Linked DNA regions of Lonchura striata. The protein of the gene in region 1 interacts with the protein of each later gene in a pairwise test. Links are inferred from orthologs where the notes say so. Each region holds a gene or a part of one and is shown in the gene's direction. Other genes may lie near its edges.

Region 1 (7,274 bases):
CAGATTCCGACACCAGGCTGCTTTAAACACGTCACCTTTGTGCCCCATCAGCATTTTGGAGGGGGATCACCACTGAGATGGGTTGGATTTCCCAAAAGCCCCTCAGCAAAGAGGGGATCAAGGCTCTGAGTGGAGGCAGAGCCCTCAATCCCAAATTTCCCACCCCTCCCTCTGCCGTGCCCACACCCCACTCCTGCATCGTTCCCTTCTCAGCTCTGGGATGAGGCAGAAGGATCTGCTGGAATTCCAGGGGGTTGCAGGTGGCAGAGGACGTACCTGGAGCCACACAATCCTCTGGTACACGTCCTGCCTCATGCTCATCTCCACGTCGAACTCCGAGAGCTTCTTGTCGGCCTCGGTGCTGGCGGCGCGGGTGGCCTTGCAGGGGGACACGTGCTGGGGGAAATCCAGCATGTTCCTACGGACTGGCAGGAGAAAAGGGGACAGGGATGGTGGCTCCACGTCCCAGCACACGCCCGGAGCCAGGCTGGCAGCCCCAGAGCCTTTTCCACCACGCTGCAGGGGAGGGAGGTGGGATGTGGCTCCTGCTCCCTTTGGTGCCTTCCCTGCTGCCCAGCACATCCACCCTGCTGGATTCCCGCCACAATCCTCCCAAAATCCACGGGAATTCTGTGCCTGTGAGCCCCCAACAGCTCTGCCCCAGCTGTGGCAGCACGGGAGGTTTGGGGAGGCCTGTGCAGGGCCAGGAGTTGGACTCGATGCTCCTTTGCAGCTGGAGGAATTCCACGATTCCTGATGGCAGCAGCATTCCCTGCCTCCTTTAAAGCTCAAAGTGGGACAATCCCTTCCCGCAGACACTTCCCAAAAAAGCCACCATGCCCCAGGTGCGCCCTGTCCTGACGCAATTCCACGTGGGAAGGCAAGGAGAACATTCCCTGCTGTTATCCCTGCAAAAAGCTCCAAGAGCAGCACTCCAGGTGCTCTCCAGGCACCTGGATTCTGCCCCCAGCAGAAGCTGAACAGGCAGCTCAGGCAGGGAAGTGCTGACAGCCGTGCTGAGGTGCACATTCCTCCTGCTGAGCAAAAGGAATTATGCTTTTTCCCCAATTATTTTAGGGAAAAAAGAACTGGGAGAGGAGGAGGACGAGGCTGCTCCCGGCCCCAGACAGGTGGGGCAGCTCGAGCACAGGGAGCAGCCCAGGTGTCACGAGGAGGGGCCACAGAATTGTCACCCTGCTGCAAATAATCATCCAGAAAGCCACCAGAAGAGCACAGTTTTGGTGCCATCACGTCGTGGTACTCCCCACCCCTAAAAAAATGCCAGCGGGATTGATTCTCCCAAAAAAAATCACAGCAGGATTGAATCTCCCAAAAAATGCCAGCAGGATTATCCTCCCAAAAAAATGCCAGCAGGATTGATTTTCCAAAAAAAATCCCAGCAGGATTGATTCTCCCAAAAAAATCACAGCGGGATTGAATCTCCCAAAAAATCCTAGCAGGATTGATTTTCCCAAAAAGTCCCTGCAGGATTTATCCTCCCAAAAAATCCTAATGGGACTGATTCTCCCAAAATATCCCAGCAGGACTGAGTCTCCCAAAAAATCCCAGCAGGATTGACTCTCCCAAAAAATTCCAGCAGCAAACAAGGCACATGGAGAGACATTTGTCCACTGTCCCAGGGAAAATTGAGGAAGGAAGTGAGAGTTTTTGGGATCTTTTCTCTGCTCCCACTGGTGACACGGGAAAGCTGGGACAGCTTTGGGGACATGGCTGCTCCTGCTGGCCTTGGGTTAATTTGCTTTTCCAAATCTGCTCTTTGTGCTGGCTCCTGGTTGTGTAAACATTAACTGGGAATAAAACCAACATTCTGCTGGCAGCCACGGGGAGAGAAAAGCAGGTGACAGCACAGAGCTAAAAAAAAAAAATCCAAAAATCCTAATAATCGTAGAATGGGTTGGAAAGTCTCTCAAAGCTCAGCCCTGCTATGGGCAGGGACATCTCCCACTATCCCAAGCTGGCCTTGGACCTTCCCAGGGATGGGGCAGGCACAGCCGCTCTGGGCAAGCCGAGAACCTCCCGCCTTCCCGGGAAGAGGAAGGTGTATCCCACCTGTGCATCCCATCCTGTGCCAGCAGGAACAGCTCCTTCCAGCCCAATCCCACAGATCTCACCTTTGTACCCCACCCTCTTCCAGCAGGAACAGCTCCCCCAGCCCAATCCCACTAATCCCACAGATCCCACCTGTGCATCCCACCCTGTGCCAGCAGGAACAGCTCCCTCAACCCAATCCCACCAATCCCACAGATCCTACCTGTGCATCCCATCCTGTGCCAGCAGAAACAGCTCCTTCCAGCCCAATCCCACAGATCCCACCTTTGTACCCCACCCTCTTCCAGCAGGAACAGCTCCCTCAACCCAATCCCACCAATGCCACCTGTGTATCCCACCTTCTGCCAGCAGGAACAGCTATCCCAGCCCCAATCCCACCCTTTGCCAGCAGGAACAGCCCCCTCCAGTCTGATCCCACTGATCCCACCTGTGTATCCCACCCTCTTCCAGCAGGAACAGCTCCCTCCAGCCCAATCCCACTAATCCCACAGATCCTACCTGTGTATCCCACCCTTTGCCAGCAGGAACAGCCCCCTCCAGCCTAATCCCACTGATCCCACCTGTGTATTCCACCTTTGTATCCCACCCTCTTCCAGCAGGGACAGCTCCTTCCAGCCTGATCCCACTAATCCCACTGATCCCACCCTCTACTGGCAGAAACAGATCCCCCAGCCCAATCCTACCAATCCCACCCTGTGCCAGCAGGAACAGCCCCCTCCAGCCTAATCCCATTGATCCTACTGTGTATCCCACCCTCTTCCAGTAGGAACAACTTCCTCCAGCCCAATCCCAGCAATCCCATCCTGTGCCAGCAGGAACAGCTCCCTCCAGCCTGATTCCACAGATCCCACCTGTGCATCCCACCCTCTTCCAGCAGGAACAGCTCCCCCAGCCCGATCCCACTAATCCCACAGATCCTACCTGTGCATCCCATCCTGTGCCAGCAGGAACAGCTCCCCCAGCCCGATCCCACCAATGCCACCTGTGTATCCCACCCTTTGCCGGCAGGAACAGCTCCCCCAGCCCAATCCCACAGATCCCACCTGTGTATCCCACCCTTTGCCGGCAGGAACAGCTCCCCCAGCCCAATCCCACCCTCCTCCAGCAGGAACAGCCCCCTCCAGCCTGATCCCACAGATCCCACCTGTGCATCCCACCCTCTTCCAGCAGGAACAGCTCCCCCAGCCCAATCCCACCCTCTTCCAGCAGGAACAGCTCCCCCAGCCCAATCCCACCCTCCTCCAGCAGGAACAGCTCCCCCAGCCCAATCCCACCCTGTTCCAGCAGGAGCAGTCCCCTCCAGCCTGATCCCACCTGTGTACTCCACCTCCACGTCCGCCAGAGCCTTCAGCGTGTTCTCGTAGGAGACCTCCCCGCGCTCCTGGGCTCCCACGCGGTCGTACACCAGCTTGGTGCTCTCGGTCAGCTCGGCGGCCATGGCCTCGATCTGCTCGGCCGTCAGGTCCCAGCGCAGCTGGCTGGCCACGGGCCGCGGGGCCTGGCCGTCCACGACATTCCCTGCGGGACAGCGGCGGCGACAGCTCGGGGGGAGCATTCCGGGCAGAGCCCGGCCGCCGGGAATCGGCGGCGGGATCGCCGAGCGGGCGCTCCTCGCCCCTCCCGGTCCCGAAACCCGACTCCGTGCCCCGCCGGCTGCTCGGGGACGGGGCCACAGAGGTGACCCGCGGGGAGAGGAGACCCCGGCCGGCCCGGGGGACCGGCCCCGGCCCGGTGCTGCCGCCCCATCCCTCTCCCCTCACCGCTCTCCCCGGTGCCCCCATCCCGCCGGTACCTGTCGGCGGGGCCATGTCGGGGGTGCCGGGGGTACCGGGAGGCCCCGCGCTGCTGACGAGGCCGGGAGGAAACCGGGCCGGCCCCACGCACCGAGCATGTGCCCCGACCGGAGAGGCGGGCGGGAGAGCGGGGCATGCTGGGAGCCTGGAGGACCGGGCCGCTCCCGCCGCGCCCGCGCCGCACCGGGGCCGGGCGGCGGGGGCGGCTCATCCCCGCCGCGACCCTCCGGGCCGGCCGGGAGCGGGCGCGGGGCGGGCGCGGAGCATCCCCGGGTCCCGCCCGCCCGTTCCCATGGCAACGCCCCCGCGCGTTGCCGTGGCAACGCCGGCATCTCTATGGTCCCGCTGGGGGCGGGGCTTCCGCGCCAGGCCACGCCCATTCCGGTGCACCGGGGAGGGCGGGGCGGCGGGCGCGGCGCATGCGCAGTGCGGGAGCGCGCCCGGCCCAGGCGAGTGTCCGGTGAGCGCGGGGGAACCGGGACCGGCACCGGGACCGGGGCTGAGCTCCCGCCGGGACCCTCCGGTGCCGGGCCGTGCTGTGCTGCCCGCCGCAGCCGCCGTCCTGCTCCGCCTGCGGGCAGCGGCACCGGAGGGCACCGGGACTGGGATGGGGAACCGGGGCACCGGGGGCACCGGGGCTGGGCCCCCGCCGGGACCCTCCGGTGCTGGGCCGTGCTGTCGGGGAACGGGAGCTCCCGGGTCGGGGAACGGGATCCCAGCCGGGCCCGGGGCTGCTCCCGGGTCGGGGAACGGGAGATCCCGGGTCGGGGAACGGGAGATCCCGGGTCGGGGAACGGGATCCCAGCCGGGGAACGGGAGATCCCGGGTCGGGGAACGGGAACCCAACCGGGCCCGGGGCTGCTCCCGGGGCTTCTGGTTCCGCTCGGGTCCGTGGGACTCCGGTGAAACGGAGCTCGTTCCTCGCTTAAACGATCCTGGCTGTGCTACAAACCCACTTAAGGTCCGGGGCTCGCTTTCGCTGCCCCGGGATCACTGGAATTCCCAGCCTCGGGAATTTTTGGGCTCTCTGTGCTTTGGGATTTTGGGATTTCTTTCCCTTTTCCCCGCCAGGACAGCCCTGGCTACCAGGGGCTACCAAATCCCTCCCGCTCTTGGCTCTGCTTTCAGGAGCAAGAAAATTGGGAATTTTTCCTGGTGAGCTCCTCAGTGCTCCCAGGGTTTCAACCCTCTGGGTTGAATCCAGGCCAGGAGAATTCCTAAGGAATATCAGGAAAGTTCTGGAGTTCTTCCCTGACCGAGAGGACAGGGCAGCTCCCTCATCCCCCCAAATCCATCCTGGCCTCCTCCGAGGCACAGCAGCAGCAAACCCCTGTTTGCCTTTCCCCGCTCCAGCCCAGCCTTGGAGCCTCTGCAGGAATTTTTTGGGACACCAGGAGGAGGAGGAGGAGGAGGAGCCCGGCCCCTCGCAGCCCTTCTCTCCCAGCATGGCAGACCAGAAGCGTCTGGCCTTCTCCATCATCCAGTTCCTGCACACCCAGCTCCAGAACGGGAGCATGTCTCCAGACGCTCAGGAGAGTTTGGAAGGTGGGTGCATCTCCCAAAATTTGGGAGAATTTTCGCCGTTGTCTCCCTGTTTTCTACCCTTGGCTGGGCTGCTGCCGGTGCTGAACCTCGCTGGGATTTCGGAGTTGATTTTTCCTTTTTTGGGGATTTATCCAGGGGTGCTGGTGGTTCATGTGGCTTCTGATCTCTTCCAAGAGCAGCTTAGCTGGGGACAGAAGCCTCCCTGATCCCTGCTTGGAGACTCAGAGGGTTCATCCTAGATGCTGAGCATTCCGTGGGGTGGGAGGTGGGAATTCCCCAGCTCCAGGGAAGCTTTTTGTGCTCCTGGCCTTGTTTCTCCTCTTCTGCTCCCCAAAAATCCCTCAGGGTTTTTCCAGGCCCTTCCAAAGGACAGGGATCTTAAAAGGATCTCCCTAAGGAGCTTAAGGTTTAGTCCTTGGTTTGTGGGTTTGTCCTGGTGAAAGGAGCGTGGCTGTGGGGTGCTGGGAGCGGGATATTTTGGGATGTGGAATGTGGCAGGAGGCTCTCCTTTCCCTGGGAGCAGCTTCCCGAGCCTGAGGAGGGAGGAGGTGGCTCCCAGAGCCAGGGGAATGTCTGGGTCTCTCCCTGGAATTCTGGGCCATTCCCACATTCCCAGCAGTGGGAATGCTGCTGCAGCCCCAGCAGGAATCCCTCGGGATGGGAACTGGGGTTGGCTCCATCCAGGATATCCAGAGGGAAGCTTTGCCCAGCTCTGAGTTTTACCAAAATCTGAGGGTACAGCCCAAAAATCCCATCTGGCGTGGGGAAAGTGGTGGGGTTTTTCCTGGTTTTTTTGAGAGATGAGGGAGAGGGATGAATGTTTATTAATTAATGACCTGATTCTCCTTATCCAGTGGCCATCCAGTGCCTGGAAACAGCCTTTGGGGTCTCCATGGAAGACCAAAGCCTGGCTGTGTCCCAGACCCTCCCCGAAATATTTGAAGCTGTGGTAGGGAAGGTGAGTGAGTGCCCTGGAACGTTCCCTTTTCCTTAAGCTCTGCTGGATTTTCCTGGAGGCTGCTGCTCTCCTCAGGAGCTCCGTGTGGGAGGGGAACGTTTTGGGCTGGAAAAATGGGAATTGTGGGAATGCTCAGCTCAGCTTCTCCCTCTCTCCTTGGAAGGAGCCGGAACACTCCAGAACGAACTCGGAGCCCGTCACTCCCTCGGAAGATGATGTGGCTGAAGCTGAAAGACTCAAGACTGAAGGTACCAAGCCCTGGAGCTGCTGGATAACGAGGGTTTGGTGCTAATTGGGAGGGGATCTCAATTCCCTGGCACCTGAGGAATGCTTGGAATGGAGGGGAAAAACAAAATGTTTTCGATTTCTGCCTCTTGCTCCGTTTGGTTTGCAGAAGTGTGGGGAGATTTTGCTGCCAGGGATGTTGGAGCAGTGGGATTTTTATCCCAAAAACCCTGTGGGGTGTGGAGCAGAGCATCCATCCCTCCTGCTCTGTGCGTGGCTTTTTCCTGGGAAAAAGTGGGATGAGTGTGGATGCAGCACTTCCCCCCTGAGCCAGCAGCTGGGGTGATTTTTTTTGGGATGCAGCATCAGGAATGCTGGAATTTCCAGCACAGCCTCGCAGCTGGACCTGCCCCACGCTGACAAACCTCTCCCCTGTGCTATTTCCATGGATCCAGGCCTTTGCTTTGGTTTATCCCAGTTCTTTTCCATCCTTTCCCACCCTCCTTTCAGGAAACGACCAAATGAAGGCAGAAAACTTCGAGGCTGCCGTGTCTTTTTATGGAAAAGCCATCGAGTTAAACCCAGCCAACGCCGTTTATTTCTGCAACAGGTACTGAGCAGCTCCCCCAGCTGCTCCCTGCTGGGATCCCAGGCTCTGGAATGCCCCAAATTCCCATTTTTCT
Region 2 (8,016 bases), on another chromosome or scaffold:
CCCTGTGGGGTGCAGGAAGACGAGGCAGAGGGTGGAGGGGGCCCAGCATCACCAGTTCTTGCTGGCAGCCAAGCAATACTCAGCCCTGGACAAGCCTCCCTCCTGGGTGTCACTTCTTCCCCAAGTCCCTGCTTGGGATAAAGCACAGGGACAAGGCCTTTCAGCCCCAGTCTCCAACGAGAGGAAGAGAAGGGAGGGCTGGAACAGCACTAGGAGAGGTGCACATCACCCTGGGCCACTTTGCCATTTTTGCATAATAAATAAAACCTCAAATTTACATCTGCCATGAAAGCCACCAGGACATGCACAGCAAAGAAAGGTGCCCTGAGCCCCACCGAGCAAGAGCCCAGCGCTGCCATGTGTGCATCCCAAAGGATGCCTGCCAAGACAGAGGGGGACAGGCAAAGTTTTTCTTCCTCATAGCCTACCACAGACATTTGCCCTTGAAGGGGATCTGGGGGGACAGTGCCTGCCAGGGACAGGACGCTGTTGCAGGGCAGACCAGCAGGCATAGGAAGGTCAGAAATTTGGCTGAGGTACAGGCTGCTTGTTCCAAGAGTTGGAGAAACACAGGCCTTCTCCAAGCACACACCCGCCCGGGGGATTTGCCCTTGAGGCACTGACCTGGTTCTCCTGTCCCAGGAGAACCAGGTCAGTGGTTCTTATCACTTTATACAGACCATGTCTGTTGCCTGCCCATGCCTGGCAGTGGGGGCTGGCTGCAAACTACAGCCCATGGGTTTCAGCTCAGCCCCTGGGACCCCACAACAGCACAAGAGAATGGCATGAGCACCCCAGAGTCATGTCAAGCACCTGAGTGATGGAAGAATCCCCTCCCTGTCTGCAAGAGATGAATTAAGGTACCGTGGTTTGAACACCACATCTCATTCTCTGCTGCATAAATGAGCCTACAAGGCACATGGCATCCCCTGGGTCCCCATGGCGCAGAGCTGCACACAGCAGGCAGGGGCAGGTGTCACAGCTGCCACCAGTGCAGAGAGGAGGCAATTAGCAAGTAGTGAGAAAGCTCCTGCTCTCCCTGTTCAGCCCCATTGTGCTAATCCCACCCCAATTAAAGCCCCCTTTTCACTTTCAGATATTGTTATGAAAGATTAATCCACCCTAAAACAAGGTATTTCCAGCAGGTCAACAAGACAAAGCCAACTCTCAGTTTGCAAAAGGCTCTGGCACCTGCCTGGGAGCATTTAATTACCCTGACAATGGCATAAAGAGAAGAAGGGCCATGAGACCCCTTCAATCACAAATCCACAGAGGAGGCATCACTTTGCCTGCTGCTCCCACATGCCTGGGGCCAGCACCTGCAGGCTGCAGCCTCTCCCCAAGAGCAGAACCATCATCCAGCCCTCTTAGGGACACCTTTTCTCCCTCAGAGCCTGCAATGCTGCACACGGTACTGGCTTTTTTATGCCGTGCTTTCCCTTTGTCCTTTGCACAGCTCTTACACCAATAAATGCGCATTATAAAAAAACAAAGCAGTGGACAGTTCTAATCTCTAAGTCAACATGTGCCCTTATCACAGAGGGTGGTTCCCACTCAGCAGGCTCAGGCTGTCTTTTATCCAAAAGCAGCAACGTGTGCACACACTGCAGAGCAAATCAGAGGCAAAACTTTCCTGGGCTTTTTGGGAGCAGAGGAGTGAGCAGCCAGGGACTCTTGCAGGACCAGATCCTGCTAGAGAGGTACAGCAGGTACTGCAGGACTCTGCTGGGCAGGCACAAGTCCACTATACCAAGCAGATCACTCCAACCACATCTTCACATCCTTTCACAGCTCTGTCCAAGGCATTGCACAGAGTTGTTTCCAAGCCTGTTAAGTAACAGTACATTTTCTGCTGGCCTTCTTGAGCAAAACTCCAAATTGTGGATGTACATCTGGTTTTCTAGGATTCTAACACAAAGTCTGGAAGGGAAAAAACCTCCATCAGCCAGCCCTCAGCTGTGACAAATGTTGATTTAAGAGAAGTGCTTACAAAATTGCACATGAAGCACTTTGCAAAAGTGACCTGCCTGTAGGCGCACTGAAAAAGCAGAAAGAGGAGCTGTGCCCTACGCTCCAGATACAGATCAGCAAGAGCCAGAACAAAGCAGAGCAAGGGAACTCATGACAGGCCCATGTTTTCAAGGAAGAGATTCACATGACTGTGAATCCCAGCTCCTGTGTTCTCTCCCTGCTGATTTCTTTTCCCTTTCCACTTCCCCTCACTCAAACCCTGCCGGGGCCAGTCCATGGGTAGCCATCGAAGGCACGGCAGTGCAGAGTGACCCGGACCTTTGATGCGCCCCAGGGCGGCCACGCTGAGTCCCCCTGCTTTTCAAAGGCCGGTCCTTGGCTATTGTGTTCACATCCTGAGCTTGTTTGTACACTTGCTGGAGGGCCCGATCCCCGCAGCCCCCCTGCCACGGCCCAGCCGCCCTGACCCAGATAAAAGCGGGGCAGGGCTGCTATCGGGGCACGGACACGCGGCACGGGCCGAGCTGCAGCCGCCGCGATAGCGGGGCTGGGCCGGGCCCGCAGGGACGAGCTGCGGGTCAGCGGCGGCCCCGCAGAGCTGCGCCGGGCCTGGCTGCGGCCGGGCTGCTGCCAGCGGCGCTATCAGCGCCCTGCACGCCGAGGGGGGCCCTGGCACCGCTGCCCTCCCGCTCTGCTGCCCCTGCGGAGGGCCAGCAGCTTGCCAACAGAGCTAACTGCCAGGCGGCAAGCAACACCCAAGCTGCTAAAGCTCTTGGATCATCGCCTCAGCCCTCCTGCCCTCTGGGCAGGCACGGAGCTGGAGAACAGTCCACCCTCCTTCCTATAAGTAAGGTAGGGTTTCCCATGCCTTGGTGGTTAAAATCCCAGTGAAACCCATCTTTGTAAGCAAGGAAGCCCAATTAAAAGAGCCAGTCTGTTTTAGTCCCACTGGGGCAGTGTCCAAGCACGAGCCTCTCAGCTGGGCCTCCATGCCAGCCCCTGGCAAGAAGAGCAGCAGTAAGGAGCGTCACTGCATCCACATCCCTCCTTGTGTGATAGGAGAGATGGGGAGATGAGCCTCCACATTGCAGGAAGGCAAAAAAAAACAAAATCCCAGAGGATTTTGAGGGCATGTTCCATGGGATACCGGAAGAGCACATCTTTATAGGAGCAAGAGCCCACAGTGTCCTCAGCCCCACACCTCTCCTCCAGGTGCTTGGTGCTCTTGTCTCCTCTCAGCTAGCTGGTGGGAGCACCAAACCAGCTCCAGGTGCTTCCCCAGAAAGGATGCAAAGACAAGTGTTCTTTTGAAGGGACAACAATGCAGTGGCCAGTTGTCAGCTCTATCCACGACGTTTTCATTCACCTCCTCCACAGCCTCTTTGCTACAGGACAAGAAGAGGCAGCAGCTCCTCTCCAAGATGCCAACGCCTGTCACAATCCCTCCCCCTCCTCAGCCTGCATGGCAGCACATGTCAGGGTAGTGGCCAAGGAACAACAGCTCCCAAGCATGGCTGTGGGTGCCTGAATTGCTGGGAGAGCAGGATGGAATTACATTCTCCAAGGCAGTATGATGGCTTTCCCTGAGAGGATCATACCCAACTACTTAACCCACTTTTTGCCAGCGCAATTGAGAAATGCCGCAGCAAAAGCCAAAACACGTGGTACTCTGGAGGATGGGAATACTCATGGTGTTGTGAAATTCTTGGCTATTGCACTCTTGGCTTGGTGGGACAGGAGGAGAGAGGACAGGCTCTCCTGGGAGCCCTGCCTGATAGACCTGACCTGGAAGGTTAGGGTACTAGAGGGGTCGCAGTATGATTCTGACATTGAAAAAAAACTAGATTTCTCAGCTTCCTGGGACCTATAATAGCTGACTGCACCCATGAGGTGCAGCCCATGAGGTGACATGAGAGCACAGACAGCGTATCCCTCAAACCCAGGAAGGCTGGAGCTGGCACTGCCACTGTAAATGGCTGGGATCTAGAGGAAGCAGTTGCCATTCAGGAAGATCAAAATCTTTGTTTTGTCCCCAGATGCCTGTTGCCTCTCTGGCCCTGCACCCTGGGGTGCCTGGAGTGACATATAACCCCTGTTCCATGGAGTGCAAAGCCAATGGGAGTCCTATAACCACCTGCCACCCCACAGACCACTGCATGTCCCACAACCCTTGACCTCAGCCCAACAGCAGATCCAATCTAGCACCACACTCCAGCACTAGGTTCTCAGCTTTTCCATCCTTTCCAGACTGAAGAGCCATGTTATTCGCAGTATTTCTTGCCATAGAACTGTTCAAGTCACCTCACAAGATAAGTTGCTGGAAAACCATCTTTTCACAGAATATTCTGAATTGGAAGGGACCAACAAGGATCACCAAATCCTGCTGCAAAACTGAAGTGAAACCATGTTTTGATCTCATGTTCTCAGCATCCCAGTGGAAGGACACTGGCACATCATGAGATATTGTACAAAAGCATGTGGAGTCATTTGAGTCAAGTCAGAGGACACACGGACACCTCCTGAAAATAGCCAAATAGTTTGGCTTGCCAAACCACAATGATGAGGAACACCCTGATGCTGGGAAGACACATCAGAAAGTCAGCAGTAACCAATCCTACATCCTCTTTCCTCTTCATCTATTTCCCAGTTTTTGCTCTCTGTTCCTCGCAAAGATTTTTGGTTGTGCTGGGCAGCCTGAGCATCTGGGCTTGGCACTGCCAGCAGTACAGGCACCGCTGTGTGAACTGCAGCTGTCCCTGAGACAGGTCACCAAGCACCAGAGCCAGCCAAATCCCAGTCACTTCAAGGTGAAGGGTGCTCCACTGCTCACGGGTACACAACACTGCCTTTGAAGAACCCTCATTTTCAGGTATTCTACCGCCAAAACCAGCTGAGGTGCAAAAACCTCTGAGTTTCTAGAATATCAGCTTTCTTCTCTTTTTCCAGGCACGTGTAGAAACGGGAACTGAGTGCCGAGCACGGCGTGCAGCGATTGAGAGCGGAAAACACCTGCAGCGAGTCCCTGCCAGGGCGGGCCGGGGCTGGCACCTCCCCTGCCATAGCCGGAAGGGAGGCACAGCCAGCCGAGGCCACGGGGAGGGATAAATCCGATTGCCGCCTCCCTTGCCTTGCGACATCGCTCCCGGGAACGTCCAGAGCCCGAGCTCTCCTGCAGGTGTCCCTCCTTTGGCGGCACCTCGGTGTGGAAGCGCTGCCGCGCCTGGCACGCTGTGCACAGGTAAAGGAAGCTGAGGGCTTGGTGGGGGGAGCCCAGGAGGAACATAAAAACAGGGCAGAGCTGTGACTGCTTTCCCCGGGTTGTACTTTCCTGAGCAGCAGGCTGCGTCCAGGCTGTTGTGGTGAGAAACGATCAGAGCGTCCAGCCTGCAGGACTGAGCTAAACTCTTTCTGAACCCTCTTACACCTTGGGCTTCCACCAAGGCACCGGCCAGCACCACGTCCCACGGGTCAGTCACATGCCAAATAACAATAGTTTTCCCTCCCATGACTGGCATCACGACAACTGGTGAGGGATGAATCTAGAGAAGAGAGAGCCTGGCTCAGACCTCCTCTGGCAAACAGAGCTGGCAGCACGTCTTGCCTGAGAGACACTTTACAGACTTGTCTCCAGACATCCGCGCCGAATTTCAGGTCTACTTAATCCCCCTTTTATCAGCGCAGGAATGTATTGCTTTTTACCAAACGTAATCCTCTTTGCAATCATGTGTTCTGCCAAACTACACTTTCTGCTCCCATCCTTCTTTCCTGGGAGAGGATTTGAGGCAATAATCCCGGCCTACTGATTTCTTTTTCTAATGAGCAAGGGACAAATGAACACAGTAGTGCAGAACATGCACACACACGAACCTTGAAGCGTTCTGTAGCTGTGATATGTTTTTGAGGGATGCCCTGAGCTAAAGAATGAGGCTGGAAGCAGTGACTTTCTCTCACAGTGGGCCACAGAGAGCCTGTGTCCTGATGTGGGCTGTCCACACTTCTTGTGTTTAGGGGCTGGAAGACATAATACCTGCCACGCTTCCTGTTCTACAAATAAAATAACAATCTGTGCAGCCCAACACAAAGGAAAGGCACCTCGCGTGTCTCTGCTCATTCAGCTCTAAAAAGGCAGCCCTGAGCATGTGAGACTTGCTGGGACCTGAGGATGCTGAGAGCTTCCCAAGCCAGAGTCTTGTTTGCATCACCCAGGAAGGAAAATATTTTTCCTGTCCTCATCCCTCAAAATGCTGAGAGGACGGGAATGCTGAAGCTGTGACCCGCTCTTTCTTCTGCTGTGGTACAAGCATGCCTTCCCACAAAGATTTGTTAACTTCATCTCCCTGCCCCACTTCCAGCCCTCCCTGTGGGGAAGCTGGGATTTGGTATGCAGCCAGTGAAATACATGCCACTTGGAAGTGGCTCTTTCACCAGACCAAGGGCACCTAAAGGCAATTTAAGCAAGTAGCTTCATTCTTTATAAAAGAAGTAGGTCGTAGTGAGGAGGGGACCTGTAGTGGGAGGTGACTAGTCTCTTCTACCATGCCTGTAGTGAGAGGATTAGAGGAAATGGCCTTTAGCTGAGAGATTCAGATTAGGAATTACAAAATTGTTTCTCACTGTTTCAGGCACTGGAATAGGTTTCTAGAGAGGTGATGGAGTTGTGGCCCCTGGAGTGAGTGCTTATTGTTTTTCACAATTACAGGTACTGGGAATAGGTTTTTAGAGAGGTGATGGAGTCGTGACCCCTGGAGTGCTCAAAAGGTGCTGGGTCACGCGGTTTAGTGGTTGCAGAGGTGATGCTGGGTTGATGGTTGGATTGGATGATCTTGGATTCTGTGCTCCCGTGCATTCCCTGTGCGCAGCGAGGCCGCGTGGGGCACGGAGCAGGCACACGCCCGCTGCTTTGGGCGGGCCGTGCGGGACACGCACCGCAGCGGGAGCGGCCGCAGGGGCAGGAGGCGGAGCTCCGCCCGCTGCCGATAGGCGCTCGGAGCGGCGGGGCGGGCCCGGGCGGCTCCGAGCGGCACTAACGCTACGGGCGCCGCAGCGGAGCCCGGCGCGGCGGTGGAGCTGCTGCTGGTGAGCGGGCGCGGGGCCGCGCAGGCCGGGGAGCGGGAGGGAGGCGCGGGCAGCAGCGGGCGCGGGCGGAGGGAGGCGGCGGAGGGCGGGGAGCGGGAGCGGCGGCGCTGGGCCCTGGCGGCGCTGGGCCCTGGCCCGCATGCGGCGGTGCCCGCGACCTTGGTGGGCTCGGCAGGGCGGCTCGGGCGGACGTGCCCGCGGCCCGCCGCCTATCGCCCACCGCTTATCTGCGTCCGCAGCCGGGCCCTGCTGGCGATACCGGAGCCACCCAGCCCCGCGGCGCGGCTGCTGAAGCGGGCTCGCTTTTCTCTCTCTTTTGCTTCTCTTTCTGAAAGATCGCGGCCTGGCGGGAGGGGCGCGGGGAGGCATGGCGCGGCCGGCCAGCATCCCTGCCAGGTGCGATGCCCGCAGGCCCTTTGTGCCTCCCCGCGGTTTCCCGGGTGTCCTTGCAGCAGCCGCCACATGCTCGGTCCGCCCGTGCCCTGGCGGGAGCCTGCGGCCTCAGGAAAGGCTTCTCAGCTCGGGAAAGGCTTCTCAAATCTGTCGTGGTTTCACCTCCATGTGTTCTTGCCCTGAATAAAAGGTGAAATAAACAATGGCCACTGCTAACCTTTGATCTCCAAATAAAACCTCGCAGAGCTCCCCGGTGTAGAGCTAATCCACGTGCACCTGAAGACCAGAGCCATCTATTAGCAGCAGTGCCTGAGGGCATACTCAGGTTGCTTGCTCCCAACCTCAGCACCTGCCTGGTGCTGTGGCGAGTGATCATTGGTCGCTCACTGAATTGCAAATCTTTTTCAGGAAGAAATGGAGAAGCAAATCAGTTTCAATATACCTTTCAGACATGTTTGCTGCTTACAGAGAACTTACACTTTTAAAAGTTGCTGAAATAATTTTGGAAAGATACTTTTAGTGATTTTCAGAGATTTTTCAAGATATTGCCTTCACAAAGTTGCAGAGAACATAGCT

Evidence for each region.
Region 2: the proteins of SGTA (region 1) and TFRC interact in binary tests that used the Homo sapiens proteins (3 or more experiments, as listed by UniProt). The two-hybrid records come from large-scale screens. The link is inferred for Lonchura striata from reciprocal best matches to the Homo sapiens genes SGTA and TFRC.

What each region holds. Positions count from the first base shown.
Region 1 is NC_134630.1:6,150,537-6,157,810, reverse strand, and holds the start of SGTA (small glutamine-rich tetratricopeptide repeat-containing protein alpha), read left to right. Parts: upstream 1-4,257; 5' UTR 4,258-4,323; intron 4,324-5,216; 5' UTR 5,217-5,308; coding exon 5,309-5,408; intron 5,409-6,262; coding exon 6,263-6,366; intron 6,367-6,529; coding exon 6,530-6,614; intron 6,615-7,101; coding exon 7,102-7,201; intron 7,202-7,274. Other genes in the region: THOP1 (thimet oligopeptidase), read right to left, coding at 277-425, 3,385-3,625. UniProt on the Homo sapiens protein: Co-chaperone that binds misfolded and hydrophobic patches-containing client proteins in the cytosol. Mediates their targeting to the endoplasmic reticulum but also regulates their sorting to the proteasome when targeting fails.
Region 2 is NC_134612.1:17,678,926-17,686,941, forward strand, and holds the start of TFRC (transferrin receptor protein 1), read left to right. Parts: upstream 1-5,008; 5' UTR 5,009-5,209; intron 5,210-6,942; exon of another isoform or gene 6,943-7,047; intron 7,048-8,016. UniProt on the Homo sapiens protein: Cellular uptake of iron occurs via receptor-mediated endocytosis of ligand-occupied transferrin receptor into specialized endosomes. Endosomal acidification leads to iron release.